Macaca fascicularis: one gene and its partners. The protein of the gene in region 5 purifies or fractionates together with the protein of the main gene of each other region. This does not show direct contact. Links are inferred from orthologs where the notes say so. Each region holds a gene or a part of one and is shown on either strand. Other genes may lie near its edges.

What was found.
Region 1: the proteins of EAPP (region 5) and CD2BP2 purify together in Homo sapiens (affinity purification with mass spectrometry; 3 studies listed by BioGRID and IntAct, counting the BioPlex papers as one, with this or other methods). This does not show direct contact. The link is inferred for Macaca fascicularis from reciprocal best matches to the Homo sapiens genes EAPP and CD2BP2.
Region 2: the proteins of EAPP (region 5) and TSSC4 purify together in Homo sapiens (affinity purification with mass spectrometry; 3 studies listed by BioGRID and IntAct, counting the BioPlex papers as one, with this or other methods). This does not show direct contact. The link is inferred for Macaca fascicularis from reciprocal best matches to the Homo sapiens genes EAPP and TSSC4.
Region 3: the proteins of EAPP (region 5) and PRPF6 purify together in Homo sapiens (affinity purification with mass spectrometry; 3 studies listed by BioGRID and IntAct, with this or other methods). This does not show direct contact. The link is inferred for Macaca fascicularis from reciprocal best matches to the Homo sapiens genes EAPP and PRPF6.
Region 4: the proteins of EAPP (region 5) and ECD purify together in Homo sapiens (affinity purification with mass spectrometry; 3 studies listed by BioGRID and IntAct, counting the BioPlex papers as one, with this or other methods). This does not show direct contact. The link is inferred for Macaca fascicularis from reciprocal best matches to the Homo sapiens genes EAPP and ECD.

What each region holds. Positions count from the first base shown.
Region 1 is NC_088394.1:28,492,375-28,498,932, forward strand, and holds the start of CD2BP2 (CD2 antigen cytoplasmic tail-binding protein 2), read right to left. Parts: upstream 4,118-6,558; 5' UTR 4,048-4,117; intron 3,541-4,047; 5' UTR 3,515-3,540; coding exon 3,437-3,514; intron 3,157-3,436; coding exon 3,021-3,156; intron 2,896-3,020; coding exon 2,738-2,895; intron 2,638-2,737; coding exon 2,202-2,637; intron 2,122-2,201; coding exon 2,015-2,121; intron 1,949-2,014; coding exon of another isoform or gene 1,930-1,948; coding exon 1,819-1,929; 3' UTR 1-1,818. UniProt on the Homo sapiens protein: Involved in pre-mRNA splicing as component of the U5 snRNP complex that is involved in spliceosome assembly.
Region 2 is NC_088388.1:2,320,997-2,327,464, reverse strand, and holds TSSC4 (U5 small nuclear ribonucleoprotein TSSC4), read right to left. Parts: upstream 4,320-6,468; 5' UTR 3,319-4,319; exon of another isoform or gene 2,932-3,318; intron 2,750-2,931; 5' UTR 2,593-2,749; intron 2,513-2,592; exon of another isoform or gene 2,433-2,512; 5' UTR 2,410-2,432; coding exon 1,420-2,409; 3' UTR 1,157-1,419; downstream 1-1,156. Other genes in the region: TRPM5 (transient receptor potential cation channel subfamily M member 5), read left to right, coding at 5-111. UniProt on the Homo sapiens protein: Protein associated with the U5 snRNP, during its maturation and its post-splicing recycling and which is required for spliceosomal tri-snRNP complex assembly in the nucleus.
Region 3 is NC_088384.1:120,151,796-120,157,661, reverse strand, and holds part of PRPF6 (pre-mRNA-processing factor 6), read right to left. Parts: intron 2,467-5,866; coding exon 2,344-2,466; intron 1-2,343. UniProt on the Homo sapiens protein: Involved in pre-mRNA splicing as component of the U4/U6-U5 tri-snRNP complex, one of the building blocks of the spliceosome.
Region 4 is NC_088383.1:73,238,016-73,243,881, reverse strand, and holds part of ECD (protein ecdysoneless homolog), read right to left. Parts: intron 2,082-5,866; coding exon 1,975-2,081; intron 1,836-1,974; coding exon 1,649-1,835; intron 425-1,648; coding exon 357-424; intron 1-356. UniProt on the Homo sapiens protein: Regulator of p53/TP53 stability and function. Inhibits MDM2-mediated degradation of p53/TP53 possibly by cooperating in part with TXNIP. May be involved transcriptional regulation. In vitro has intrinsic transactivation activity enhanced by EP300.
Region 5 is NC_088381.1:102,321,144-102,326,761, reverse strand, and holds the end of EAPP (E2F-associated phosphoprotein), read left to right. Parts: intron 1-3,752; coding exon 3,753-4,029; 3' UTR 4,030-4,395; downstream 4,396-5,618. UniProt on the Homo sapiens protein: May play an important role in the fine-tuning of both major E2F1 activities, the regulation of the cell-cycle and the induction of apoptosis. Promotes S-phase entry, and inhibits p14(ARP) expression.

The DNA of each region.
Region 1 (6,558 bases), on a different chromosome or scaffold from region 5:
CCTCTTTGGTGGCTGTTATTCCACCCACCACCGTCGTCAGTGAGGCGCCCTAAGGAGGGGCTGTGAGGTCACGTGAGGTCGGCTTCGGAAGGGCTAGGTTTGAGTGCCTGGAGGACACCGGCAGGAGGCGCCCCTGGGCTCCATTGATTTACCATGCACTCACTCAGCACCCCTGAGAGACCATCCCTGGGGCCTACAGGTGAACCCTGTACCTCAGCCCTGACACCTGCTTTCCACTTCCGGACCTTTCTGAAATCAAGACGCATCTTTAGATCAATGGCATCTTACTGTGTCACTGGCAGGCCTCTTCTTTCTTAGTGATGTTTAAAGGAAGGTATCTTACCCCTGATGGCTTCTTGGAGTGAATGAAATTCCAGTGTGAGCAGGCACTAGAGCAGGCCTCACAAGAGCGTCCGGTAACCCCACTCCACCCTGGCCCCCAAGTCTTTCCTAGTTGCTCGTCTGGCCCTTTCTGCCCTGGGATTCCAAGTGTCCTGCAGCTCTGGTGCCCAGATCCCCGTAACTAATGGACGGCACTAAAGCCACACACACGCTCAGCTCTACAACCACAGTGGGGTCCAGGAGCCAGCCCTCCTGCTAGCGGTGCCTCAACCATGGGGGTCGGACCCAGGGGCTCTCTCTCGGCTTGGCTGCAAACTGAAAACACCTAGAGGCTTCCGAAATACCCAATGCCTGGGCCACAACCTAGACCAGCTCAATCCGAATATCCAAATAGATATTACAGCTCCCCAGGAGATTCCAAAGGGCAGCCAGAATGGAAAACCGGAAGAAACCATCTAACGTGGTGCAAGGGAGGCATAAGGCAATGCTGGTAGGGGGTAGGGGGTGGAGGGTGCCAGGCCCAGGCTATAGAATTACACCCATGCCTCTGCCACCAAACTCTGAATTCCTGGAAGGGGACCAGCCCAGCTACCTCAGTTTCCTGAAGGCACTAGCCCTGTGCCAGGCACCTAGTGGGGCCGAGAGAATGTAGGCCGCAGGGCCTCAAAGGCCAGGCAGCAAAGGCTTTGTGCCAAGAAAGGTCTGGGAAAGGAGCCCACTGGTTCTGGGCCAGCCCTTTGATTCCTGTGACCTCCAGTGAGTCACTGCCCCTCTGTGCCAGTACAACGCACGCTTGGCCCACGCTTGGCCACTGAGTTTGCATTTCACTGAAGGGCTATGGGAACGACTGCAAGGAGAGAAGAAAGCCAGGCTAGGGAAGATACTGGCTCTCAGAACCTTAGGGATCTCGGTCTTGGACCACTCATCCCACTTCTGCCCAGTGTCTATGGAGCTTGAGAGGGTGGAGCAAGAGTAAAACGTTTCCATGCCCACCCCCAACAGAGACCCAATGTCTTCTCCATGCCCCGGTCCTTCCAGGCCTAAAAGCTCCACTTCTGGGGCTCCATCCCCTGGTGGCTACAAGGACAAAGAATCTGACATCCTGAAAGCCAAAGACCTAAGGGGAATCAAACAAGAAACCTCAGAGAGGAACACAAAGTAGCGCAGTTGGGGGTGTTTACACAGCAAGCAGAGTCCAGGCAGTGAGGCCACAGGACACCTGACAGGCACCTCCAAAGAAGATCTTCATGGGAGCAAACACTCAGGGACCAAGGCAAGTCCAAAGTGGCTGTGGAGAAGGCCCCTGGCTTCTGGCCGTCAGCACAGCCAAGGCCCCAATACACAACTAAAGGCTTTTATTGGGAAAGGGAAATTGACTGAAAAATGGCCTCCAATTTCCTCACTGCCTGAGACACTTGGTGCCTTCTCCACAAAGTCCAGGAAAGAATGACCCACCAAACTGGGCCCCCAGCAGGCTCAGGTGTAGAGCTCAAAGTCAATGCGTTTGGAGTTGTAGAACTGACCACCAGGGGGGTCCAGCTTCCGGCAATAAACACCGTCCGGGAAGTAGCCTTCACTCACCCAGGTCTGCAAGGAGAGGGCAGAGCTGGGGAAGGACTGACAGGAGTAGGGGAAGCAGGGACAAGCCAGAAGGAGGGAGAAAGCAGCTCACCTGCATCTGGGCGCTGGTGAAGGGCCCATACAGCTCGGCATCCCCCGTGTTCTCCCACTTATATTCCCACATCACATCCACCAGACCATCTCCTGGCGACTCTGCTTCTAAAATAACAGGCAAAGCCATTTGACCTCCGGTGTCTCACTTCCCGCCCACTGCCCCCTCCTCTGTCCTCCAAGCTTACCTCCTCTCTGGGTAGGGGTTGGGGTCTCCAGTTCCTCCTCTGCCACTTCCTCAGCGAACATGTCCAGGGAGGGTGGGGGTGTGGGATTGTGGGGTCCCACGGTCTGACACCCCAAACCCTTCAGCCGCATAGCCAACCGTTCCCTTGTTTCCTGGTACACGCCAAGGTTGCCCCGGGCCACCATCTGGTCGGCCAACCCGGAGAGCCGGTCCAGGCGCTGAGGGGAACTGGGACGCCCAGGCCCCTTGCTGCTCCCTTTGCCTCCTCCTCGGGCCCCTAGACGCCTCAGTGCCCCAGCCACTGTCTCTCTAGGCAACAGAAGCTCCAAAAGTCCCTCCAAGAGGGCTTGGGCACTCATTGGGGTCTGGCCCAAGCTGTCTTCCTCCTCCGAGTCTGAGGCCTGGTGCTGGCCAGGTGGCCGCTCCCGGATCTTCACCTGTCATGGAAAGATGCAGTGATTTCCCACGAACTGCCATGGGAGCAGGCCTAGCATCCGCCACTCCCCGGCCCCAGCCACACCAGCCCCTGGGCCTCACCCAGTCAATGTTGTCCAGCCAGCTGTCTCGGATCTGAGCATCCCGGTTCAGGAAGTAGTTGCCATCAGCATCAAAGTGTCCTTCCTCCATCTCCTCCTGCAGGTTAAAGGGTGTGATCCGAACACCCCCCTCGCTGGGGAGTGTGGCTGCCTCCTGACCTGTACCAAAGACACAGGTGCCCTTTTCTAGGCATGGAAAAGAGAGACTGGAGCCTCCCTCACTCCACACCACCAGAGGCCCCTACTTGTTTCTCCAGCAGAGTGTATTCTTGGGTACAGCTCACCTTCTACATCCTCTGAGGCCAGGATGTCGTATTTGCTGGACCCCCCATCATCATCATCCTCCTCATCGCTATCCAAAGAGTGTTTGCCTTTGAAGCGGCTCCCAGGACCCCCTGACCCAGCCACAGGGTCCACCAGCTGTGAGCAGGAGTCAAGTCAAGAAATGCAGGTTACTGGCTACCTCCCCAAATACTTCCGGATCTGGACCCAAATATTCCCCAAATATTTCAGGATCTCGACTACTTCCCCAAATATTTTAGGACCCACACTGAAGATGCTCCCAACCCATTCTTCAGAGAACCTGAAAAAACTAGGCTTTTCTCTGCCTGCCCGCCCCGCCCCACTCCCGCCAGCTTTCTTTCTCCTCAGGCTTCTAGCTCCTCTCTTTCCCCCACACAAAGGAGTCTGGCCCCCTCACCTTCTTCTTGGGGACACTGATTTCATCCTCATCTTCCTCATCTCCCACGCCTTGGAAGGTCACTTTCCTCTTTGGCATGACGGGGCAGAGAGGTGTTTCTCAAGCTGAGGAAAGGATACAGAGAAAGAGAATGGGGTGAGGAGGGGACTCGCCACCAGAGGACCCAGCACAGCAAATATTTTTCCTGGTCTGTGACAGGTACAGTTTGGGAGCGGAGGGAGCACAAAAGCAAGGGCTGAAGAGAAGCTGGCAGCCAGGAGGCCTGCAGGACTTGGGTCTAGCATCCGCGAGTTAAATGGGGTGGGGACGGAGGAGCGGACCCTCTGGATCCCCTGACCCTGGCCAACAGGGAACAGACTTCACCACGTGACCGCTCCCAACTCCAGCCCCCGCAGTCTGGGCGCCACCGGCTCGACCGGCTGACCCCCGCCTCCTACTCTGGCTCTCTCGGAGCTCGCGGGGCCCGGGCAGACCCAGGACCTGGCGCTCTCGCCACCCCGTTCCTCCCTGCTCCGAACTCCCAATTCCGTGTGGTGAGCCCCAACTGTCCCGGGCTGTGTACAAATTAGAGGGCCACGGGGATCCGGGCTGTCCCACCCTCGCGCGCTCACCTGGGACTCCGCGGGAGGCGAGGTGGCGAAAAGAAGAGATGCTTGCGCCAAGGCTACATCCGGGGCACCCGGCCGCCATCACCCGGAAGAGGACTGTGGAAGGCGCCTGGGAAGCCCGGAAGTGGCTTCACTCGGGTTAGGGAACTAACTGGAAGAGCGGGCGGAAGTACGCGGTGAGCGAGGGAAGACGCCTCCACCCTCTCTCCCGCAAGAAGTGACGTCAGTCGCGTGGGAGGACAATGGCGAGAAGAGGGGACCTGTGAATGCCTACACTCTGACCGGGCGTGAGAAATGGCCGGAAGTACCTTCGATTCCCTCATTCAAGCAGTAGAGGCTCTGGAGAAAAACGAGAGCATCTACTTAAAGGGTCGCCCAGGGTCAGGATGGAGGGGCAAAGTCCGAGCAGGGCCAGTGGGTCGCTGCCCCGTTTTCCTGTGCTGGGTTCGAGTCACCCTTCCACCAGGGCTGAGGGCTCAGCGCCCCTACCGTCTCGTTAGAAATCCTGCCTTCCCACTCCTGTGGTCCGGTGGTAAGCTCTCCTATCTGAGAGGTGGAGCCTTGCCCTCCCCGAGGGGAAGCCTGGCTCTCCCGATGGCCAGCCCGGGGCCCCTGGACGGCTCTCGGGGCACTTTCTGGACACAGCTCCCTTTAGGACCCAGGGGAAGTCATTTGTCCCACGCCCATACCCTGGGCGAGTTCCTGGCTTCTGAGGTGGGAGAGCCATCACTGGAGAGGTGGCATTGGCACCAGTACCCAGGCCAGAAGTCCCTGTGCCCTGCTCTCAGATAGGCCTGGAAAAGGGCAACAGTGCCTCTCTGTAGCATGAAGCCCCTCTGAGCAAACAGGGCCTAGCACCACGGCCTGGAAAAGGGCAACAGTGCCTCTCTGTAGCATGAAGCTCCTCTGAGCAAACAGGGCCTAGCAACTCGTGCCCAGGTAACAGAATGTGGCCCAAGCAGAAGCGGGACTGGGGGAGGTGGCGGGGGGTCAGCCCCTGTACTGGAACCTCTAGCTCTTGAGGACACTCGGAGCCTGCATCCCCCTAAGCAAAGACTGCCCAGGCGGCACCTGCTGGAGCCAGACGAGGACAGTGTGAGAGTTCCCCTACTCTTCCCCAAGGCAACTAGATGGGCCACTTCTCTCTCCCTAGGGATTTCCTCCCATATTGGATCACGATGGAACTGCACAGAAAGTCCATGCTCAGTTTCTTCCATGGTTACAGAACACAGGCCCCAGACCAGGAAGGCATGTTGCTAAAGAAGGGGACCCGAAACCTCAGCTACCAGCACCGATGGTTCATCCTCCAAGGAAACCTCTTCTACCTAGAACACCAGACCGATCATGCACCCCTGGGCCTCATCCCGTTGGAGAACTGCCAGGTGGAGCTACACCTTAAGAACCCTATGCCTTTACCATCCTGACTCCTGGGGTGGGCGGGCCTACAAGCTGGCTGCAGAAACCCAGGAAAACCTGGAGACTTGGCTGTGGGCACTGGCTGGTGTGAGCTGGAGGTGGCTGGCTGGGCTGCTGCCCCCACTCAAGACCTAATACCGGGAGCTGTGCCAGGCAGCTGGCCAAGAACCCATCTCATGCCCAGAGGACACTGGCTTTCTAGCCACCATGAGTACCCGTTCCAGCTTCCAGGAGTTGCATGAGCACTTTGGGAAGCAGATCTGGGTGCTGCAGGTGGTACCTAGAGAGCTCCAGGCAGCCAGTGACAATGGAGACAGCACATCCCAGGCAAAGCTGGAGTAGGAGCTCAACCAGTGTCTGATGAGTGACTTGAGAGATGGACCCAAAGCCAAGAGATACCTACTTGCCAAGACAGCAGACTGTTTTAACAGAGACCCAGGTCCTGGCTCTGTCTCTCCCTCCCTCCCTCATCCTTACCCCACCCCAACCCCCATCAAGTAACAAGGCAGGAGACAGACTCGGGTACAACAGCAGGTTCTTTTCTGATTCCTCAAAGCGCTGCATGGGGTGGGGGCAGAGACAGAAGAGAATGTAAACATTGGGTTCCACCCCCTGGAGCTCAAGGGAAGACCCTTACCCAGATAGGGACTAACTGGAGGGGTGGAAGGGAACAAGGTGAAAGGTAGGGGTCCTGGTGAGACAAAGCAGGGGGGCCTGAGAACACAGAGCAAGGTGGGTTTGGAGGGTGCACAGCAGGGTGCGGGAAGGGATATGGGGGACATTTCCTATTCCAGTGCATGTCCCCTTAAATAAACTGGGTACAGGAGCATTATGGAAGGAGAACCAAAGGACAGAAGACAAAAGCGAGCATCCCCACCCCAGGCCAACCCCATCCTCTGTACATAATTACAACACAGAAAGGTCCAGAAGGAGAGCCCAGGCCAGGAATTGGAGACAGGGAGGGCTGAAGACAGGGAAAAGGAAGCCAGCTCCACCTCATGGTAAGGGGAGCCATGGAGTGTAAGAATTTGAAACTGCTGACTCCCATCACCAGGAGTCACCCCTGGGATGACAACGGGCCAATCAGGACAGCACCTA
Region 2 (6,468 bases), on a different chromosome or scaffold from region 5:
TCAGGCTCTCGACACTGTGGCGGGGGAAGCCGGCTGGTGGCCTCTGACCACAGAGGGGGTTTAGATGGCCAGGAACAACCTGGGGATGGCCAGCCTTCCTCGGACACCTAAGCTGCTTGGCCTGCCATATGTGGGGCCATCTCACCTCAGCAGGCCACCCTGGGTCTTGTGCACTGACCTTTGCCGACCTCCAGCGGAACCCCCAGGGGGCAGCAGACCCCCCAGCAGACAATGGCCCTCCTGGTGCCTCACCAGACCCTCACCCAAAGGAACCGCTCCTTGTCCCTCCCGGCCTCCCTGGGGGCACCGCAGTGTCATGGGGCTGTCTACCCTGACAGGCACTACTCCCCGGGCAGAAAGCGTGCCCCACCGTAACCCTACTTGGAAACTGACCAGCGTGCACCGCAGAAAAGCTGGCCCTGCGGTGCGACGGGGGAGCACCCCCATCCAGACTGAGCAGCTGCTGTGGGGTCTGCACCCACCCCTGCCCTGACTTGTGTTGCCTGACAAGAGACTCATCTTTTTTTGAAACACTACTGGTTAGAATTTCTGCCACTTAAGACCCAAAAGGTCCTTTGGGGCTCAGGTGATTGGCTCCTGGAAGACAAGGCTGGGCACCCACGGCGTCTGTCAGCTGTCCCCACAACACCCAATGGCCAGTACAGCACACGCTGGTGTTTATGGCGCTAGGACACAGCCCCTGTTGGTGCCAGTGGCTGCTTTATCTCCAGTGGAGCCTGGAAAACACCCAGATAAAACTGGACCCCTGGCTCAGTCAAACACCTGCCCAAGCCCTGCAACTGCCCACTCACACCCCAGCCTTCTCTGTCCAGACCCATTTTGTCATCTCCCTGTCGCCTCCCAAGCTGTGGTCCGCACTAGGCCTGGGGCTGATGGCATCCTGTGGGCTTTGGTTGGGGGAGGGCAGATTCTGGACCCACTCAGGCCCATTGAGGGTACTCGCTGGACACCTGCCACTGAGCCACAAGCCCTAGAGGCGGCCTGGGGTTACCAACTCTTGCTGTCACCTGGGTGATCTGCTGTTAAGGGATGCAGGTGTCAGCCACCCTCGAGTGGTCCAGCACTGTCAGGTGTGGGGACCTCTTGCTGCCGACAGACCCCTTTGAGTAAGCAGGGCCCAAATATACACAAAGTCTGAGAAAGACCCAAAACCTTTATTGTCCCCACCAGGAAGCCAGTGCTTCCAGCCCACACCCCACACCCCAGGAGCCTCAGCAGGTCTCTGCTCGGGAGGACGCCACCCAGAGCTGCAGCCAGGGCCTCCAGTGCCACCTACAGGCAGCCTGCAGGCTTCCTCCCACTCCAGCTGGGCAGTGGCCAGGCTGCCCCTTGACCAGCCCCACTAGGAAGGCAGCAGGATGGCAGTGGCCAGTGTGGTCAGGCTGGGCCATCTCCCTCTCAGACCTCAGCACCTGGGTCCTCAGGGCTGCTGCCCTTGTTCCGGAAGTGGTCTCGACTCCGCTTCCTGCTGCCATGGAAGCCAACAGTCTCCACCGGCGGGAGACCTGGCACAGACCCACTGTGGACAGGCCCTGACAGTGCCTCCACCTCCTGCAGGCCCCCATGGGGGCTGCCCCACTCCTCGGCCTCTGGGCTCCCGGGCCCGGCCAGATGGGCCAGCTCCACAGGGCCCTCGCCCCTGTCTGTGGCAGGGTTCCCAAGGCCACCCCTGCCCGGCTCTCCCACCTTCCCCAGGACCCTCTTCCTCTCGTGTCTGGCCTCGACGCCTCGGACTGGTTTGGTGAAGACGACCCTCCCCGCCCCACAGCTGGAGGGGTCCTGGTTGAAGGAGGACACGCAGTCAGTGGGGGCAGCCAGGCTCTGGGAGCCCAGGAAGGCCAGGGCGGCGGCCTGATTGCTCTGCTCGCTGACCTCGGTCACATCTTCTAGGCTGTACTTGGTCCAGCGCTCGGGGTGTGCCACGTAGTCAGGGACCGGAGGCACCCTTGGGGAGGCAGGGCTCCGACGGGCCCCGCCCAGGCCTTCCACTGGAGACCGGCCTGAGGGCGCTAGGGGCTGCTTGAAGCCTCCATTGTCACTCATGCTTGTGTGGGCCACAGAGGATGGAGCCCTCCTGGCCGCTCCCTCCAGGCAGTCAAAGATGTCACGGCTGCGCTGGGAGAAGGTGGAGCTCATGCCTCTCAGATGGAATGGCTGCACCGTGGCCGGGAGGAGGCCTGACGGGGGTGAGGGTGGTTCATCAGGACCTGAATCCTCCTCCCCAGGCAGCCCCAGCGGGGACAGTGCTTCCACTTCGGCACCACCGGGCAAGCTGAGGTCAGAGTCCGAGTCGCTGAGGGAGACTGTGTCGGAAGGCAGCGTGTCATACTCCGTCCCGTGCTCGCCCTCCACGCTGGGGGACGGCTCACCTGTCCCTGCATCAGCCATGGGTCCCCAGGGCCACGCCACACCTAAACCAAAACGGCCCAGGAAGTTTGTCTCTCAGGAGGAAAAGTATTGAGAATGAGTTCCCCCTGCAGATCCACTGCCCCTGGACAAGTAGAGAATCAACTGACAGAACCGTCCCACACAGGGTGGAGTCCCGCCTCCCCCTCCAAGCCCTCCTCTCACCTCTCTTGGCTGCTGGGTGCCAGTGGTTGACACTGGAGTGTGACTGGACAGCCAAGTGGGCCAGGTGAATGGAGCCCTGCTGAAGGTCCTCAGTGGCACAGGCGTGGTCGTCTCAGGCCTGGGAGTGCCCCAGCATTGCCGCTGTTCAGCTGCTCAACTGCAGGTGGGTGGGGTGGGGGAGAGGACCAACCTCAGACCAGAGCACACATGTGTGAAACAGGTTGTGTCCAGTGCCAGCACATTGTCACCCCTTAAGGTGCCAGGCAGGACCGACCTAAGTCTGGGTTTTCAGAGCCCCTGACAGGCTAGGACTCAGGGTAGGGACTTTTGACTCGTTACCTCATTTAATCGTGCCAACCCTCTGCAGGCAAGCTTGGAGCTACTAAGCGATTTTAGTAGTAAGCAGCCACCCAGGGCTTAAACCCAGGGCCGAGATCAGGCAGGAGGGCCACTTATAAGCTGCTTGCTGTGCAGGGTGAGCAGTTGGTACTCCACAAAGAGCCGGCACCTTCCTGATCCATGGGGAAAAGGTTTGCTCCTATTTGCTGGAAGATCCCCGGGAGCTCCCAAGGAATCTGCAGCCAAGGCCCTGGCATCTGAGGGTCAAGCTCTCAGGAAAGTGGGGTGTCGACCATCACCTTGAGCAGCCCTGCTAGGCAGAAGCAAATCCCCGCAGCTCCTGGAGCGACCTCCAGTGACCTTCCTCCTGTAACACTCAGCACATACCTTGCCTTTCCAGCTGGGCAGACAAATGCTGCCTCCTGTACCCATTTAGTGGTAGAGTGACTAGGTGCCTCAGAGCTGCGTTTCCAAGCAAAAAAGACGGCCCATCCACACCCTTCTTCACTGTCCTCGGCCATCCATCCACTGACTCCTCTCCTGCTACCAACACTCCTTGCCCGCCCAGGGTGACCTGTGTCTTGTGCACCCAACAAGGATGGGGTCAGGGGTACTATTAGGGACTGTCAGTGCCCTCCACCAGGTCAAACACAGGAAGGACCTCAATTCCTCTGAGGCCTGACTCTCCTCAGTGAAGAAGCCACCCCAGGGAAAGGCGATACCCAGTACCCCCCACACTGATGACCGTTTTAAAACTGGCAGGAATGGGGCGGGGGCCATAATTTGCCCAAGTCACACAGTATGTTGCAGACGAAGCTGGAGTTCCAACCAGACCCCTACTTCCCAGATTCGCACTCCCGTCCTCTGCAGCAGAACGCCGCCGCGGCCAGAAGCAGCCTGGTAGCGGGGCACTCCGAGGGGGAGCGGGGATCGGGCTGCAAGACAGGGACTCCGGGAGTCCGTTCTCGGGGTTCTCGGCGAGATCCGGCAATGAGTGGAAGGGCAGAGTTGACTCCTTCATGTCTGGAGACTGAAGGAAGCCGTCTGTTTCTCCACATGAATGCAGAGCCCGGCCTTTCTCCACTCTATGTGCCAGCAAGACCTCCCCGCCAGGGAAAGAACGAACTCTCAGTGCCAAGTTGGCTCTCGGTGCGAAGTCGGGCTGGACAGGCCCGGGTCCGGGCCTCAAGAGGATGCTGTGGGTGCCAAGGGCCCGGTCGCAAGGTACGGGGGTTGGCGAGCACAGCGGGGCCTCCGAGCTCAATTTAAAGCTGCGCTCGGTGACCTTCCGGAGGCTCGGCCGGCCACCGTGGCCCGTCCTCCCTCAGCACAAACCTACCGGCTCAAGGATGCACGGCAATCTCCATCTTGGTCGGCGCCGCACGTCCGCGCGGCGCGCTCAGCCCTCTGGGAAACCGAGTGCTCTGCCGGCGGAGCGCCGCGGCTTCCGCACCTGCAGAACTACAACTCCCACAAGGCACTGGGCCTCCACTCCCGACGCCTGTCGGGATGTGTAGCCCTGTGCGCATGCGCCCGCCCCTCTACGCCCCGGCCCTTGGGTCCGGCTCGGAAGCGGCCCCGGAAACGACGGCATTTGTTGGGGAACCAAGACCGGAATTGACCAGGAAGAACAGGAAGAGGAGGGGCCAGGCCTGCAATTCCCAGAATGCTCGACGGCTAACCGACAACCGGGCCGGCTTCCCGTGGTCCCAGCGCCACCTGCCGGAAACCGCGAGAACAGCGGCCGCCCCAGGCAGGAAGTGCATCATCTCGTATGGAGAACGAATGCCGTTCCCAGCACTTCCGGTCATGACCGGAAGCGGTAACTGTCGCTCCTCCTGGGCTTCGTCAATGCAGCGAGGCGGGGCTCCCCGGGATCCCACGGTCCCGCTCAGGCCAGACGCAGAGGCGGTCCCAGCCCGAGATGAGGACGCGGGGTCGTGGCCGCTGGGTCACGGGTGAAGGGGGCTTTACCCGCTGGTTGGGCCGATGCTTTCCCACCCCTAGGGGTTTACTGGGCCCTGGCCGCAAACTTGTGGGGCGTCGTCCTCACACAATTGCCCGGCCACCCTGACACCTCTGGGCCCTCAGCTCTGGTGCACTGGTCCGGGCTCCGGGAGGCACTGAGACGTCCCCCGAGGGCGCTGCGGGGAAGCTGGGGCCAGGTCCCTGGTCCTTCCGGGCAGGATGGAGGCCGCTGAATGCTCAAGCTTCCAAGTCAGCGTGGCTGGGTGGGCGGCAGCCGGGAAGGTTTGGCCTCCGCCGTGCTTGGGAGCCTGTCCAGGGGGCAGGTCAGATGCCCGCCCTGAAAGGGAAGACGAGGGCCCAGGTTCTCCCTTCGACAAGCCGCGTCTCCCTTGGCCACTGGCCCTGTTGGCACCTTGTGCCCCTTCTCAGCTGGGAGAGTTCATGCCCCACACAGTCAAGGAATCTGAGTTCCCCGTGGCTGCTAGACCTCTGGTCCCTCTGAAAGGCTCGAGAGAGAACTCCCCCAGGGCCTGCTGTCCTGGCATCCGCTGGGAAATAGGATTCAAGGACCTGCTGTGGCTCAGCCTAGAGAAAAGGAGGGGAAGCAGGACCCCCTCCTCGGTCCCCGGTCTGCTGTGCGCCTTTGGGATACCTTATTCCTTAAACTGCTCTTCCCTCCCCACAGGGAACACAGTGGAAAGTAGAGAGGGGGCTCCTTGAACCATCCTGTTACCCCAACCAGTGCAGGCTTGGAAGTTGGGAGCAGCAGGGGAGGAGGGCCTGCTGAGAGACTCTGTAACCCCCTAAAATGCAGGGCTGGGGACAGTTTCCAAATTGGCCCGCAAAGAGGCTGCTGGGAGCCCTAGACATGAATTCCCAGGCACTCATTTCCTCCAGGGGTCAGTTAAATGTGCCAGCATCTCCCGCCCCACAACTAGGGAAAAGCAGCCTGACCCAGAGCAAGCCCCACCCCACGATGTAGGGGAAGATAGGAGAGTCTAGACCAAGCCCATTGGCAAGGACGGGGAGCGCAGGGGCTGCTTAGCCCCAGAGCCTGTCCACCCCCCAACCACCGCCCGCTGAGGGGCTGGGTGGGCTCCCTAGTAGGACGAGGTCTTTCTTCCCCTCCAGCCCCTTTGAGACATGGCTCAGGCCTGAGCCGCCAGCTCTTCAAAGGAACACTTACAGGAAATAGATGGGCAGGACAGAGACCCTCAAATGCTCAGGAGGGAGCAGTGTGTCCATCCTTTGCCGTCCCTTAGGAGGAGGAGGAGTCCTGCAGCGCACCCAGCCCCGACCCCAAGCCCATCTCATACTGCATTCCCTGGCTGCCCGACCCCTCCTGCCAACCTACTGACACTGTGTGCTCCTCGTGTGCCCAAGGGGCAGGGTGGAAGTGACTGCAGGCAACACAGGGCCTCTCCCAAAAGAGAACACAGAGAATCCTCCCAGAAAGGGCCCTTGCTACCTGGAGTTACTCCCTGGTTTAAACCCAAAGTAAAATTCTAAGCAACCCCAACCAACCGAATGGACACCTCTTGGCCAAACGCATTCTAAAGTAAACCTGAA
Region 3 (5,866 bases), on a different chromosome or scaffold from region 5:
GCTGTGGTGGCAGACGCCTGTAGTCCCAGCTACTCAGGAGGCTGAGGCAAGAGAATTGCTTGAACCCCTGAACTGGTAGGTGGAGGTTGCAGTGAGCCAAGATCGTGCCATCGGACTCCAGCCTGGGCGACAGAGTGAAGACTCCATCTTAAAAAAAACAAAAACAATGATGACGACAACAAAAACGTTACCGCTGCCCTGCGTCTTAACTCACCTAAGGACCGATGTGTGTATTTTAGCACACATGGGGCGGGAGGATGGCCCAGCCAGCACACAAGCTCTGGGTCGTGCCACACGGGGTGCAAAGGAACCATGTGTGTATCACACAGACAATGCCAGCAGTGGGGTCTGATCCCAAGGACCAAAGGAGGAGCCACTGGCCAATCCAGATGGAAGGAAGTGAACACACACGGATGAAGGAGAAAGTGAAGCTCTTCATTACTGTAGAATTCCAACTAATAAAATGTAGGAGAAACTGTTCACAAAATCATTATGCGGGTGTGGCCAGGCACAGTGACGTACCCGTAATCCTACACACTTTGGGAGGCTGAGGTGGGATCACTTGAAGCCAGGAGTTCAAAACCGGCCTGGACAACATAGTGAGACACTGTTTCTACAAAAAAAAAAAATTAATATAAAAAAGATTTTTTAAAAAATCACCATTTAGCAAACACCACAGAAATAACTGATTCAGGCCAAGAAGCATCATTAATGGATCCTCAAAATACTTATTAATAACAACAAAGAAACAGCAACCATACAGTGGAAACGCCTGCAGCCACTGCCTGCACCAGAGGGTCGGAGTCGGACAGGTGCACACCGCTCTGTATGATGCACCAAGAGGACCCAACCCAACCCAGAGGGGACACCACAGAGAACCAGATCAAAGAGGAGCCTACAGCATCACTGGCCTGTGGTCCTCAAAAAATTCAGACTCATGAAAACAAAGGCTGAGGCTCTCCCAGACTAGCCAGAGGATGGCCCTGTATTCCCCACAGAACACAGTCGGTTTTTTCTTCTGCTAAAAGGACGCAGAGACAACGGCTGAGCCTTCTTCTTCTTCTGAGATAGGGTCTTGTCATCGCCCAGGCTGAGTGTAGTGGCGCAATCACAGCTCACTGTGGCCTCGAACTCCTGAGCTCAAGTGATCCTCCCACCTCAGCCTCCTGAGAAGCTGGGACTACAGGCCTGCACCACCATGCCTGGCTTTTGTTTCTGTAAAGATGGTGTTCTGCCATGTTGACCAGGGTGGTTTCAAACTCCTGAGCTCAAGTGATCTGCCCATCTTGGCCTCCCAAAGTGCTGGGATTACAGGTGTCAGCCCCGACGCCCAGCCTGCGGGTGAGATTTGAGTAAGGTCTGAAGTTACAGCACTGTCCCAACATTAATTTCCTGATTTTGATAACTGAGCTATGGTTGTGTAACAGAATGTCCTTTTTTAAAGAAATATACACCAAAGTATTTAAAGGTAAAGGGCATCACATCTGCAACTCCTTCATTGTCAAACAGTTCTAGAAAAAAAGTAAGAAGTAAGTGAACAGAATAAGAAAGCAAATGTGCAGCCGGGCGCGGTGGCTCACGCCTGTAATCCCAGCACTTTGGGAGGCCGAGGTGAGCAGATCAAGAGGTCAGGAGATCGAGACCATCCTGGCCAACATGGTGAAACTCCATCTCTACTAAAAATACAAAAAATTAGCTGGGCGTGGTGATGGGCGACTGTAGTCCGAGCTACTCGGGAGGCTGAGGCAGGAGAATGGTGGAAACCCGGGAGGCGGAGCTTGCAATGAGCTGAGATCGCACCACTGCACTCCAGCCTGGGCAACAGAGTGAGACTCCGTCTTCCAAAAAAAAAAAAAAAAACCCACAAAAAAAAACTTAGGTTAACAGAAAGCAAGCTGTATTCCTTATGAGTGCAACCATGTGCAAAACAAGTGTATTTAAAGAGTTTTAAAGGGCCAGGCACCGTGGCTCACACCTGTAACCCGAGCACTTTGGAAGGCCGAGGCGGGTGGATCACAAGGTCAGGAGATCGAGACCATCCTGGCTAACACAGTGAAACCCCGTCTCTACTAAAACCACAAAAAAATTAGACAGGCGTGGTGGCAGGCGCCTGTAGTCCCAGCGACTCGGGAGGCTAAGGCAGGAGAATGGCGTGGACCCAGGAGGTGGAGGTTGCAATTAGCCGAGGTTGCGCCACTGCACTCCAGCCTGGGCGACAGAGCGAGACTCCGCCTCAGAAAAAAAAAAAAAAGGTTTTAAAATTGCCTAGTAGTTATAAAGTGCCTGCTGTTCCCACAAGCAGAGACTCCATATTGCGGACAAAGGCTCCTGTTGCCAACTCACACTGTCGGCATCCTCCATCCAGGTGTGCTTCCGATCTTCCTCCTCAATCCCAATCCCAATCACGGCACGCATGACAGCCTGGCAGGTGGCCACACTCCCAGCCCTGTCACATTCCTCGGCATCCTGAAAGAGCAACACAAAAGTTACTTTTGATTTTGGAAATCAGAGTTGCAGATTCCCAATAGGAAGCACGGCATTCCCGAATGGTTAAAACTGACAGACATCAGCACGAGATGCTGACACTGCCTACCAGGGATCTGAGGAAGTGAGTCTATCGCACACCAATCAGAGAAAACAACAGAGAAACGTCACAAAGGACATAGGCACACTGTTCACTAGAAAATAAAAATACAAACAACTTTTAAACATGTGAAAAGAAATGTAAAGCCTTATTATTATTATTTTTTAAGAGACAAGGTCTCAGCCGGGTGCGGTGGCTCACATCTGTAATCCCAGCACTTTGGGAGGCCAAGGAGGGTGGATTACGAGATCAGGAGTTCGAGACCCGCCTGGCCAACCTGGTGAAACCCTGTCTCTACTAAAAAGAAAAATACAAAAATTAGTCAGGCATGGTGGTGGGCGCCCATAATCCCAGCTTACTCGGGAGGCTGAGGCAGGAGAATCACTTGAACCCGGGAGGCAGAGATTGCAGTGAGCCAAGATCGCGCCACTGCACTCCAGCCTGGGCAACGGAGCAACACTACGTCTTGGGAAAAAAAAAAGAGAGAAAGAGTCAAGGTCTCCCCCTGTGACTCAGGCTGAAATGCTGTGATACAATCATAGCTCACTGCAGCTTCAAACTCCCAGGCAAAAGGGATCTTCCCACCTCAGCCTCCGAGGAGCACAGTCATGCAGCACCATGGCCCACGCCCACGGTTACATTGTTTTTTGTAGATACAGGGTTTCCTTATGTTGCCCAGGCTGGTCTTAAACTCCTGGTCTCAAGTAATCCTCCAGCGTTAGCCTCCCAAAGTGCTGGGATTAATGCATAAACCACCACACCCAGTCCCCATTCTTATTTTCAAGATGCTAATTAAACTATTCTAAGTACCATTTTGCACGTATCAGACGACCAACATTGAAACATTTGCTGACTGGCTCACTTGGTGAAGGTGGACCTAAATCTTACACTACAAAGAAGCACATGTCTCTACAGAGGGCAATTTCTCATTCTCTATCAAAATAAAACAGGCACATACTGGACCCAGCAGTTCGACTTCAAGGCATTCATGTGACCAATATATTCCCATGTGTGCAAGACAATGTGTCTACCAACAAGAGACCGATAAGCCAGCTAGAGCAACAGGGTGCAGGAGCACAGGCACCACTGTGGCACGCCAACCTGGGGGACCACGACATGAGCGAGCGAAGTGCGACAGGAACCACACGCCTCCAGACCCCCCCGAGCCCCGCCAGCACCAGAAAACCATCCCAGACAGAAAGCAGAGCCAAGAGCAAGGATCTGAGGCAGGGACGCTGTCAAGAAGGTCAGTGCTGAGAAGAACACATGGGGCAAGGACCCAGCACCCAGACCCCCAGGGCCTGCAGCAAAGGTGCTGGCTCCTCCTCCATGTACAGTTTCTAGTGAACGCAAACTGCTTCTGAACCACTGTCAAGTCAAACCATGGGAAGTCAGGGACCATCTGTATTTGCAAATTGTGTATCCAATAAGTGACTATATCCAGAATATATAAAAACATCTCTTACAACTCAATAATAAAACAACAGACAAAAATAATACATAGACAATAATAAAGACACAATCCAATTTAAAAGTAGGCAAGGGATTTCAATACCTCCATGCTACAACATGGATGAACCCTGAAAACACACTAAGTTAAGGCCAGTCACAAAAGACCACATGTCGTGTGATTCCACTCACAGGTGGCCTCAGTGTGGGACGATGTAAAAGCCACACACACTCAGTAGAAGCAATACTTAGACTCAAACCACCACCCTGTTTTTCACTTTCATCGCAGCATTCAATAAATTACATGAGTTATTCAACACTTTATGTTCAATGACTTTGCCCAACTGTAGGCTAAGGTAGGTGTTCTGAGTATGTTTAACCCAGTAGATAGGCTAAGCCACAAAGTATAGCAGGTTAGGTGTATCACACACATTTTTATTTTATTTTATTTTATTTATTTTTTGAGACAGTCTAGCTCTGTCGCCTAGGCTGGAGTACAGTGTTACGATCTCGGCTTACTGCAACCTCTGCGTCCGCCGAGTTCAAGCGATTCTCCTGCCTCAGCCTCCTGAGTAGCTGGGATTACAGGTGCCCACCATCATGCCTGGCTAATTTTTTTGTATTTTTAGTAGAGACAGGCTTTCACCATGTTGGCCAGGCTGGTCTCAAACTCCTGACCTCAAGTGATCCGCCTGCCTCAGCCCTGCAATGTGCTAAGATTATAGGTGTGAGCCACAGCACCCAGCCTCAAACGCATTTTAGACTTACGATATTTTCAACTTACAATGGGTTTATCAGGATATAAGCCCATAAGTTGAACATCTGTATATAAAATGTCCAGAAACAAAACGTATAGACAAAGTAAAAAAGCAAGGTTAGACAGGCACAGTGGCTCACACTTGTAATCCCAGCACTTTGGGAGGCCGAGGCAGGTGGATCATCTGAGCTCAGGAGTTTGAGACCAGCCCGAACAACATGGCGAAACCACGTCTCTACAAAAGACAGAAAAAAATTAGCCAAGTGTGGTGGTGCACACCTGTAGTCCCAACTACTCAGGAGGCTGAGGCAGAACTGCTTGAGCCCAGGAAGCAAATGTGGCAGAGAGCCAAGACTGATTGTCCCACACACTCCAGCCTGGGAGACAGACAGACCCTGTCTCAGAAAACAAACAAACAAACAAAAGGCTACAGAAGTGAGTAAACGGGGAGCAACAACTCACGGACACAGGACTTCTTTCTGGGGTGATGAGAACGTTCTAAGATTGTGGTGACAGATGGACAGCTCTGTGAATATACTAAACACCACTGAATTGTAAACTTTCAATGGGTGGATTCTATAGAACGCTAATCATAGCTTAATAAACTGTCACAGGCTGGGCATGGCAGCTGATGCCCGTAATCTCAACACTTTAGGAGACTGAAGTGGTAGGATCCCTGAAGGCCAGGAGTTTAAGACCAGCCTGGGCAGCATAACAAGACAAAAAATAAAAATTAAAAAATTGGCCAAGCATGGTAGCACATGCCTGTAGTTCCAGCCACTTGAGAGGTTAAGGCGGGAAGATCGCTTGAGCCCAGGAGATCAAGGATGCAGTGAGCCATGAATGCACCACTGCACTCCGGCCTGAGCAACACGGCAAGACCCTGTCTCCTTAAAAAAAAAAAAAAAGAACTAAAAAAAAAAAAAAAAAAAGAAGGAAAGGAATGAAGGAAGGAAGGAAGGGAAGGAGGAAGGAAGGACTGTCATAAAATAAAACAGAAATAATAATTTCATTATTTATTTTTCTGGAGAGAAACATAACTCAGAGGGTGACTCCTAAAAAGAAGGTAATAAAGG
Region 4 (5,866 bases), on a different chromosome or scaffold from region 5:
GCACCTGTAGTCCCAGCTACTCAGGAGGCTGAGGCAGGAGAATGGCGTGAACCCGGGAGGCAGAGCTTGCAGTGAGCCGAGATCGTGCCACTGCACTCCAGCCTGGGTGACAGAGCGAGACTCTGTCTCAAATAAAAAAAAAAAAATTAATGAGCAGCTACTATATATGTCAAGCACTGAGCTAGGCAGCCTCTACAAAATTATTCATGGGTAGTAATTCATGGTTGAAAGCAACTCAAAACCAGGAAGAGAAAGCAAATATTTTGGCTTCTGAGATATCTAATAACCCAATGCTCTAGCAACAGCTATACGACTTACAGTTTCAAAATGAAAGTCAACATCACACCATTACTTACCTAAAATCTTATCAAAATAATTAAGAAAAGAATCTGCATCAAAAGTTATTGGAGCTTCAGAAGGTTCTCTGCAATATTAAAGGACAAAGACAATTTATTCTAAATACAACTGTTTGAAACTTTTCTAAAGTAGTGCCATTCTTAGGAAAGCTACCAAAGATAGAATTTCTAAGGAGGCACAGCAAGAAAAATTGTAGTTTTAAGTTTTAAAAATTCTTGAGTTTATTGGCCTTGAAGGACAACAGAAATGGGAAAGTCTGATAAATGAAAAGTAAAAATAGCATCTTGTTTATGTACATTTAGCTTATGCTGATTTAGGGACCTACCCACTCTCTAGCCCCAATAAGATATCTAGCATTAGCAAAACCATTATTTATTTGAGTTACTTTAAATAAAGCCTGTTCTTTTAAGAACTAAAGCTTAAAAAATAAACAAGAACATATCTTCCCTTATCCCTGCTTTCTTAAAGAGAGAATACCAAATATAAATTTAGATCTTTCATCAGGTTCAAGAGTATCAACACTAATAGTGATATATGTGATACACAAGTAACAATTATTATTATTATTATTTTATTTTATTTTTTTGCTCTCTCTGTAGCCCAGGCTGCAGTGCAGTGGCGCGATCTCAGCTCACTGCCAGCTCCGCCTCCCAGGTTCACGCCATTCTCCTGCCTCAGCCTCCCAAGTAGCTGCGATTACAGTCGTGCGCTACCATGCCCAGCTAATTTTTGTATTTTTAGTAGAGTTGGGGTTTCACCATGCTGGCCAGGCTGGTTTTGAACTCCTGACCTCATGATCCACCCGCCTTGGCCTCGTAAAGTACGGGGATTACAGGTGTGAGCCACCGCGCCCAGCCTACAAGTAATAATTCTATCTACCTGTTTTTCCTGTTACTTGCCAAATGTAATTTCACATTTCTGTTATTATTTCTGCCTTTGAGTTTTCAATATCCAATCTGTTTGCAGGGCGGGAGATCAGAGGTCTGAACTTGTTGAAAGCTAAATGTTGAGCCCATAAAGCTACTAAAGAGTAAAGTATATGGTTTCCCTGTGTGGTTCTGGATGATGGTTTTTAGGGTGATCTTTCTGGCTTATTTCAAGGATTGCAAAGGATAAGACTTCTAGAAATCTGACTTCAGATAAGTAAGTTATCACCATACTAGGCACAAAAAAGAAAGAAATCTGTACAACTCATTTACTCAAAAAAAAAAAAAAAGTGGAAATGGCAATGACTATGACTTCAACATTTGGGTTCTAACTATTTATATATTTATACTTTAACACAAATTACCGAGGCAGCTCTGCTCCCTTGTGGGTTGAGACTTTGGATATGAAAGCTTTCATGCTCTCTGAGACTTGAGTTAAGTCATAGTTCTGCTCCTTCTCCTCCTTGGAAATAGACTCTGATTCTTTTTTGCCAGCAGCTTCCTGCAGCAGCTGGTCCAGCTGATCTGGTGAGAGATCTAACCACTGGTCATCTGAAAAAGAAGAAAGCATGATATTGCCATTCTACATTCACATGATAAGTCCTCTTAGGAGAGGATCCTGTGAGACTTAGAAGAACATTTTAATTTTTTTTTTTTTAACCCTTCCACTGTATCCTGGTCCATCACTTACCATCCTCTGGAGGAAGATTAGCTGCTTCTTTCTTAAGGTCTTCTATATCAAATGGTATTGTCTGTAATAAGGTTAAGATTTCTTCACCAGGGCTCATAGCAAGAGAACTATGAAAAATAAAAAACATGAGTATTTCTTCATAAGAGAACCTAGAATAGTAATCATAAATACATAGTATTTTAAAGTTGGAAGGGATTAGCTAGTCTAATTTGGGGAGTTTTTTTTTTTTTTTTTTTTTAAAGAGATGGGGGCCGGGCGCGGTGGCTCATGCTTGTAATCCCAGCACTTTGGGAGGCCGAGGCGGGCGGATCACGAGGTCAGGAGATCGAGACCATCCTGGCGAACATGGTGAAACCCCGTCTCTACTAAAAATACAAAAAATTAGCCAGACGCGGTGGTGGGCGCCTGTAGTCCCAGCTAGTTGGGAGGCTGAGGCAGGAGAATGGCGTAAACCCGGGAGGCGGAGCTTGCAGTGAGCCGAGATCGTGTCACTGCACTCCAGCCTGGGCGACAGAGCGAGACTCCGTCTCAAAAAAAATAAAAATAAAAATAAAAAAAATAAAGAGATGGGGTTTCATTGTTGCCCAGAATGGACTCGAACTCCTGGGTTCAAGTGATCCTCCTACTTCAGCCTCCCAAGTAGCCGGCACTACAAGTACATGCCAAAACACCTGGCTCTAATTTGTTTGTTTGTTTGTTTTTGACAGAGTCTCACTCTGCCACCTAGGGTGGAGTGCAGTGGCACGACCTCGGCTCACCACAACCTCTGCCTCCTGGGTTGAAGCAGTTACCATGCCTCAACCTCCCAAGTAGCTGAAACTACAGGCATGCGCCACCACGCCTGGCTAATTTTTGTATTTTCAGTAAAGATGGGGTTTCACCATATTGGCCAAGTTGGTCTCGAACTCCTGACCTCGTGATCCCCCTGCCTCGGCCTCCCAAAGTGCTGGGATTACAGACATGAGCCACCGTGCCCAACCTTCTAATTTGTTTTTAAGCATATTTTTAGGTTACAGATCCCTTTTTCTCAAAAAAAAAAACTTTTACCAGGAATTCTAAAATATAGAAGGGCTCAAAGAAAAATGGCCTTAATTAAAGTGGAGGATAGGCCAGGCACGATGGCTCATGCCTGTAATCCCAGCACTCTGGGAGGCCAAGGAGGGGAGATCACTTGAGGTCAGGAGTTCACTTGGCCAACATGGTGAAACTCCGTCTCTACTAAAAATACAAAAATTAGCTGGGCATTGTGGCACACGCCTGTAATCCCAGCTACTCGGGAGGCTGAGGCAGGAGAATTGCTTGAACCCGGGAGGTAGAAGTTGCAGTGAGCCACCCCAGCATGGGCAACAGAGCAAGACTCCGTCTCAATAAATAAATAAAATAAAATAAAAATAAATCAAGTGGAGGATAGAGGTTCAGAGATCTACACAATTTGCCTTCCCTTTTGGCTCTGAAGCAGGCTCCATGGAACATCATTATGAAGCCACTGATCTCGTATAATTCTTTCTATACATATATGTATAGACAGGGTCTATATGTATATATATGTACATAGAAAGAGTTGTATTATATTAATAGTACATATACATATAAAAGACGTACTAAAAATACATAAAGACATACATATAACATATGTATTTTATATATAAAGAAAAGAAGATCCAGAAGGAAAGTATCAATTAAAATTTATCTAGCATGTATTAAATGCTATGCTAACACTTTAAATACATTTTCTTATTGAGTCCTCTCCTCATTATTATAGAAGGTAATAATCCTGTTTTACAGATGAGAAAACCAGAGCCCAGGGAAGTTCTATAACTTTTGCAAAGTCTGTACTACCCAGGAGGCAGAGGTTGCAGTGAGCCAAGATCATGCCATTGCACTCCAAGCTGGGCGACAAGAGAAAGACTCCATTGGGTGGGGGCCGTGGCTCACGCCTGTAATCCCAGTACTTTGGGAGGCCGAGGCGGGCGGATCACGAGGTCAGGAGATCGAGACCATCCTGTCTAACACAGTGAAACCCCATCTCTACTAAAAAAAAAAAAAAAAAGCCAGGCATGGTGGCGGGCGCCTGTAGTCCCAGCTACTTGGGAGGCTGAGGCAGGAGAATGGCATGAACCTGGGAGGTGGAGCTTGCAGTGAGCTGGGATCACGCCACTGCATTCCAGCCTGGGCTACAGAGCGAGACTCCATCTCAAAAAAAAAGAGCAAGACACAGTCAAAAAAAAAAAAATCCTCATTCTTTAAGACTTAACTGAAACACCTCCTCCCTGAAGCCTTCCATTATCTTTCTTTTTTTAACTTCTCTGCTTCAACCTTTGTGAAAGTTTATTACCTTCTCACTATGACTCTCTTTAGCATTTGATATTCCACAATGATTTTTATTTTGCCTTTTGTTATGATTATTTGGGTTATTCTTTTCTCTCTCCTAGTAATGTTTACATATTAATAATACAGAGTAGAGACAGTTCCCCATCACCTATGTGATTTTGCAAGATATGCAAATGTTTATTCAATTAAAGCAAGTCCTTTATACAACTTGATCTGGTCCATTCTTAATAGTTCAGACAGGGTGCCATCAATTTATGTAACAAATCATGTCAGCATTATGTCACTCACTCAACACATAAGTATCTCTGTGCATAGTTTCTTTTTTTTCTTTTTCTAAGACAGGGTCTCACTCTGTCGCCTAGGCTAGAGTGCGTGGCATGATCACAGCTCACTGCAGCCTTGACTCTTGGGCTCAAGCAATCTTCCTACCTCAGCAAGTAGCTGGGATTACAGGCATGAGCCACTGTGCCTGGCTATTTGTTTGTGTATTTTTAATTTGAGTAGCTGGGATTACAGGTGCCCACCACCTCATCCGGCTAATTTTTTGTACTTGTAGTAGAGATGGGGTTTCACCATGTTGGCCAGGTTGGTCTCAAACTCCTGACCTCAGGTGATTCGCCCACCTCGGTCTCCCAAAGTGCTGGGATTACAGGCATGAGCCAATGCGCCCGGCCTATTTATTTATTTTTAATTGACAAAAAAGGGTATAGGTTTATCATGTAACTTAAAAATATTGTAGAGATGTAATCCCAGCACTTTGGGAGGCTGAGGAGGGCAGATCACAAGGCCAGGAGATTGAGACCATCCTGGCCAACATGGTGAAACCCTGTCTCTGCTAAAATACAAAAAGATTAGCCGGGCTTGGTGGCATGCGCCTATAGTCCCAGCTACTCGGGAGGCTGAGGCAGGGGCATCGCTTGAACTGGGGAGGCAGAGGCTGCGGTGAGCCGAGATCGCGCCACTAAACTTCAGCCTGGCGACAGAAAGAGACTCCGTCTTAAAAAAAAAAAAAATACTGTAGAGAAAGCTAATGTTTCCTTTGATGACCACTGCCACCCATCCCAATCCATTGTCTTGTTCCCCAGAGGTGACTGCTTTCTCAAGTACTCTTCGGCGCTTTTCTTTCTCTCTGTGTGTGTGTATATATATATATATGTTTCTATTTATTGTATTTGCTGTCTGTCCTTTTGCTGGAATGTTATTCCCCTAAATACCTGAATGCCTCACTTCTTCACTTCATTCAGGTCCCTTCTCAAAGAAAACTTCCTTAGAAAGGCCTAAGGAAGTTTAATCTTCTAGAAGATTAAACTTATCTATCTAGAAGAGCAGTCTCTACCCCTGTATCCCCACTCACTGCTTTTTCTTCATAGCACTTACTACCATCTAACATTGTATAATGGCTTGCGGTCTTTCTCCTACATTAGCATGTGAGCTCCATAAGGACGAGGACACTTTGGGTTCATTTATTATATTCCCAATGCCTGGAATAGGACCTGGCACATAGGAGGCACTCGATAAATATTTGTTGAATAAATGAATATATATGTATCTATAAATAATG
Region 5 (5,618 bases):
ATAAATAAATATTTAAGGTGATGGATCTCTCAATTATACTGATTTGATCTTTACAAATTATATGAATATGTTAAATTATCACATGTACCCCCTGAAAATATGTGCATCTATGATATATCGATAAAAATTTTTATTTAAAAAGTAGCTTTGCTAATAAAGCACTTGACAGTGCTAATAAGGATTCGGTGAAACTGCGTATGTGTTGTGCAATGATGTAATACCTTAAAAGAAAAACTATATCTCTACTCACAGCACTTCTGATACCAAATGTGTGGAGCTTCTGCCCCCCCATATCAAACAATTTTCAATTTTCTGTGGACATGGAGTGTCCTGCAATATAATTCGGACACTACCTGGAGTTAGTGCAGAACCCACAGGTTGAGATCAGTCTTATTAAGACTGCCTCCACCACTTCAGATGCCATTGCAAGTAGGAGGTCCCTAGGTTACCCATGCCTTTTATCCAATTGGCCTGTAAATTAGGGGTTCCTTTTTTTTTTTTTTTTTTTTTTTGAGACAGGGTCTCACTCTGTCACCCAGGCTGGAGTACAGTGGCACCGTCTCTGCTCACTGCAACCTCCGCTGCCCAGGTTCAAGCGATTCTCGTGCCTCAGCTTCTCAAGTAGCTGGGACTACAGGCGTGTGCCACCATACTCCATTAATTTTTGTATTTTTAGTACAGATGGGGTTTCACCATATTGGCCAGGCTGGTTTCAAACTCCTGGTCTCAAGCTATCTGTCCACCTCGGCCTCCCAAAGTGCTGGGATTATAGGCATGATTTTTTTCTTCTATTAGTAGCCTTATAAGTGGCTGTCTTAGTACATCTTTTGAATCAAGTTAACTGAAAATAAATAATGATATGGGTGGTCGATTTGTTCTAGGAACTAATGAGTAACCATTTGTGGTTTATTCTTATTACCTGGCTTGAGGTTTGTGATGATTTGTAACAATTTTTTACTGTACATATGAGCCTTAAGCATTTTGCATATAAGTTAACAAAGACTTTGTTTATGAGATGAGGTCTTTGTACTTAAGTTGCCTCTCTTCCAATTAAACCATAACACGGGGTTCCTATATTCAAAAGTTTCTTCATGATCTAATTGGCCCTGGTGAAAATTACGTTCCATATTAATGCAAGGTTCTAATACAATGGAGTAATTTTTTTTTTAATGAAAATTTTATTTAAAGTTTGGGGAAATGATTTAAGACTTCTAAGGGTGTTCTTTTTTTTTTTGAGCTGGAGTCTCATTCTGTCACCCAGGCTGGAGTGCCGTGGTGCAATCTCGGCTCACTGCAACCTCCACCTCCCAGGTTCAAACGATTCTCCTGCCTCAGCCTCCTGAGTAGCTGGGATTACAGGCATGTGACATCATGCCTGGCTACTTTTTGTATTTTTAGTAGCAACGGGGTTTCACCATGTTGGTCAGGCTGGTCTTGAATTCCTGACCTCGTGATCCGCCCGCTTCGGCCTCCCAAAGTGCTGGGATTACAGGCGTGAGCCACTGCACCCGGCTTTCACCAGTGAGTGTTCTTTAAGAAAATAGTTTAGGTTGGGCGTGGTGGCTCACACCTGTAATCCCAGCACTTTGGGAGGCTAAGGTAGGAGGATCGCTTGAGGCCAGGAGTTCGAGACCAGCTTGGGCAACATAGGGAGACCCCCCCCCCCACAAAAGAAAAAATTAGCCACACATGGTGGTGTATTCCTGTAGTCTTAGCTAATTGAGAAGCTGGAGTGGGAGGCTCACTTGACCCTGTGAGGTAGAAGCTGCAGTAAGTCATGATTGTGCCACTGCACTGCAGCACTCTTGCTCTGGGCAAGAGAGTGAGACCTTGTCTCAAAAAAAAAAAAAAAGAGGCCGGGCGCGGTGGCTCAAGCCTGTAATCCTAGCACTTTGGGAGGCCGAGACGGGCGGATCACAAGGTCAGGAGATCGAGACCATCCTGGCTAACCCCGTGAAACCCCGTCTCTACTAAAAAATACAAAAAACTAGCCGGGCGAGGTGGCGGGCGCCTGCAGTCCCAGCTACTCGGGAGGCTGAGGCAGGAGAATGGCGTGAACCCGGGAGGCGGAGCTTGCAGTGAGCTGAGATCCGGCCACTGCACTCCAGCCTGGGCGACAGAGCGAGACTCTGTCTCAAAAAAAAAAAAAAAAGAAAGTTTAGAAAAAATTATTTGTTCTGATGCACAAGGGATACAGAGAAAGGGAAAAATATATATTAACGTGATAAGGGATTCTTAGAGATCTGAGACAGATAAAGTCATGCAAGCAGTTACAGTTAATACAAGAAACTAGAACTATTTATGTTTGAAGATATTTTTTGAAAGGTTAGATTATTTTTCCCTGAGAAGTGCCCACTTGCACATTCTTACTTCCTGGTGGTTTTGATGGTAGTGAAGGTGAAGGTTAATATTTGGAGCTAGTGAGTGCACAGTTTGAGCTCACTTTTTTAGCCAGATAGGTATTTTTGTTACATGAGGTCTAAGGGAAAAAAAAAACAAAAAAAAAAACTTACTAAGTGGGAAAATAAGTAGGAAAATATTACATATATGAGGTGAACAAAGTCGGGGGATGGTTTCTGGATGAAATTGTTCTACCTTGGATCATCAAGCATTAGTTAGATTCTCATAAGGAGCACGCAACTTAGATCCCTCGCATGCGCAGTTCACGATAGGGTTCACACTTATAAGAATGCAATGCTGCCGCTGATCTGACAGGAGGCAGAGCTCAGTTGGCAATGCTTGCTTGCCCGCTGCTCACCTCCTGCTGTGCTGCCCAGTTCCTAACAGGCCACAGGCTGGTACTGGTCTGTGGCCCGGGCTTTGGGGACCCCTATGTTAGACTGATCAAATATATAATAGCTAAGAGTAGACATTATAAAGTCAGAAGCTCCTTAAGCTTTTAAACCTGTAGCTTTTACTAAAATGTTGATCACAATGGCGCCATCTAAAATGAGAAGAGGGCAGAGTCTCAGACCACAATGTGAAAAGACAGTAGTCAAAGATTAGTGCACATTACCTGGCAAGTTTCCAACAACTTTTTTCTAAGTTTAAAGAGCAAATAAATTTTTTTTCCCTTGAGATAAAAGTTACGTCCAAAAAGCAGAAGGAAAGAGACACATTTCTTTTTTTTTTTTTTTTTTTGAGACGGAGTCTCGCTCTGTAGCCCAGGCTGGAGTGTAGTGGCCGGATCTCAGCTCACTGCAAGCTCCGCCTCCCGGGTTCACGCCATTCTCCTGCCTCAGCCTCCCGAGTAGCTGGGACTACAGGCGCCAGCCACCTCGCCCGGCTAGTTTTTTGTATTTCTTAGTAGAGACGGGGTTTCACCGTGTTAGCCAGGATGGTCTCGATCTCCTGACCTCGTGATCCGCCCATCTCGGCCTCCCAAAGTGCTGGGATTACAGGCTTGAGCCACCGCGCCCGGCCAACACACATTTCTTCTTTATACTGTTATATACTAAAATGTTTCTTCTGCCTGGTGCAGTGGCTTGTGCCTGTAATACCAGCTACTAGGGAGGCTGAGGCAGGAGGGTCACTTGAGGCTAAGAGTTCAAGGCTGCAGTGAGCTGTGTTCACAAGTTTTAATTATTCTTAAAACAACTGTTTAAAATTTCTTTAAACTTGCTTCTTTATTCCTCTGTCTTTACTTTGGTTGGTATTTCAGTTAAGTTTTTGGTGTTTTCAAATTTTATCTAAATGGATAAACTATTAACATAGAACATAAACCCCAATTCTCCATTTCATTTTTCTCTTAGGCATGAATCGTACAAAACTCAATATAGAGCAATGTTTGTGATGAATTGTTCTATTAACAAAGAGGAGGTTCTAAGATATAAAGCCTCAGAGAACAGGAAGAAAAGGCGAGGCCATAAGAAGATGAGGTCTAACCAGGAAGATGCTGCCGAGAAGGCAGAGACAGATGTGGAAGAAATCTATCACCCAGTCATGTGCACTGAATGTTCCACTGAAGTGGCAGTCTATGACAAGGATGAAGTCTTTCATTTTTTCAATGTTTTAGCAAGCCATTCCTAAACAGCCCAACTGGCATTTAATTACCCAATACTGTATATAAGGCAAATATGGACAGTTACTTTCCTCCTGCCTGTTCATAAGTGACACTGAGGAAGCAGTGTTTCTCTTTATAAAGAAGAATAGTTGTCAGCCTTCATTCATCTCTTACATCTCTCACCCTCTCCTTTTCTTTTTTCCTTTGATTTTCCCCCCTTATTGATGAGACTGATTCATTCTGTTTTTGATGAACATTTGGAAATGGGGGGCTTTTTGTTAAGGCTCTTTAGAATTAAAATGTTATGGAATTATAAGCAATTTTTGTTTCTGAGTATTATTTTTACTTTGGATGTAGCTTTGATGTAATTAAACTGGAAACTCTTTCCTGAATTGTCTGTATTGTTTTTGCTAAGATGTATCTTTATTCACCTCCACCCCACAGGATGGAATAACAATATTTAGTAACTGTTACAATTGTGTGGAGTACGCCACTAGCCTTGGCTCCTGCCTGTAATCCCAGCACTTTGGGAGGTCAAGGGGGTGGATCAGGAGTTCAGGAGTTTAGGAGTTTGAGACCAGCCTGGCCAACATGGTGAAACCCTGTCGGTCTCTACTAAAAATAGAAAAATCAACTGGGCATGGTGGTACGCACCTGTAATTCCAGCTACTCAGGAGGCTGAGGCAGGAGAATTGCTTGAACCTGGGAGCCAGAGGTTGCAGTGAGCTGAGATCGTGCCACTGTACTCCAGCCTGGGTGACAGAGTAAGACTTTGTCTCAAAACAAACAACAAAGAAACAAACAATTGCATGGAATAGGTACTGTCAGATACTTTAAGAAATAAAGGTCCTTCTCTGAAAAAAGAGGACACTTACCAGTATTCTAAACTTAATGAATGCACATTTTAAAATATAAATTTATGGTGAGTTTAACTAGACTTAAACATTCTGGCGGGGCACGGTGGCTCACCACTGTAATCCCAGCACTTTGGGAGACATAGGTGGGCTGATCGCTTGAGGTCAGGAGTTCCAGGGCAGCCTGGCTAACATGGTGAAACCCCATTTCTACTAAATATACAAAAATTAGCCAGGCCTGGTGGTGGGCACCAGTAATCCCAGCTACTTAGGAGACTGAGGCAGGATGATCACTTGAACCTGGGGGGCAGAGGTTGCAATGAGCCGAGATTGTGCCACTTCATTCCCACGTGGGTAACAGACGAAGACTCCGTCTCAAAAAAAAAAAAATTCTGCTGCCACCTCTTGTGCCTACTATTTATTCTGTTGCAAACAACCAAGATATAATTTTTTTAGGTATTAATATAAAAACCATCAGTGGCAGCTTGAGGGGAAATTGCATTGTAGGCATCTGTGTATTTTATTTTCAGTCTTTAAAAAAATGATATGGCCGGCCGGGCGCGGTGGCTCAAGCCTGTAATCCCAGCACTTTGGGAGGCCGAGACGGGTGGATCACGAGGTCGGGAGATCGAGACCATCCTGGCTAACACGGTGAAACCCCGTCTCTACTAAAAAATACAAAAAACTAGCCGGGCGAGGTGGCTGGCGCCTGTAATCCCAGCTACTCGGGAGGCTGAGGCAGGAGAATAGCGTAAACCCGG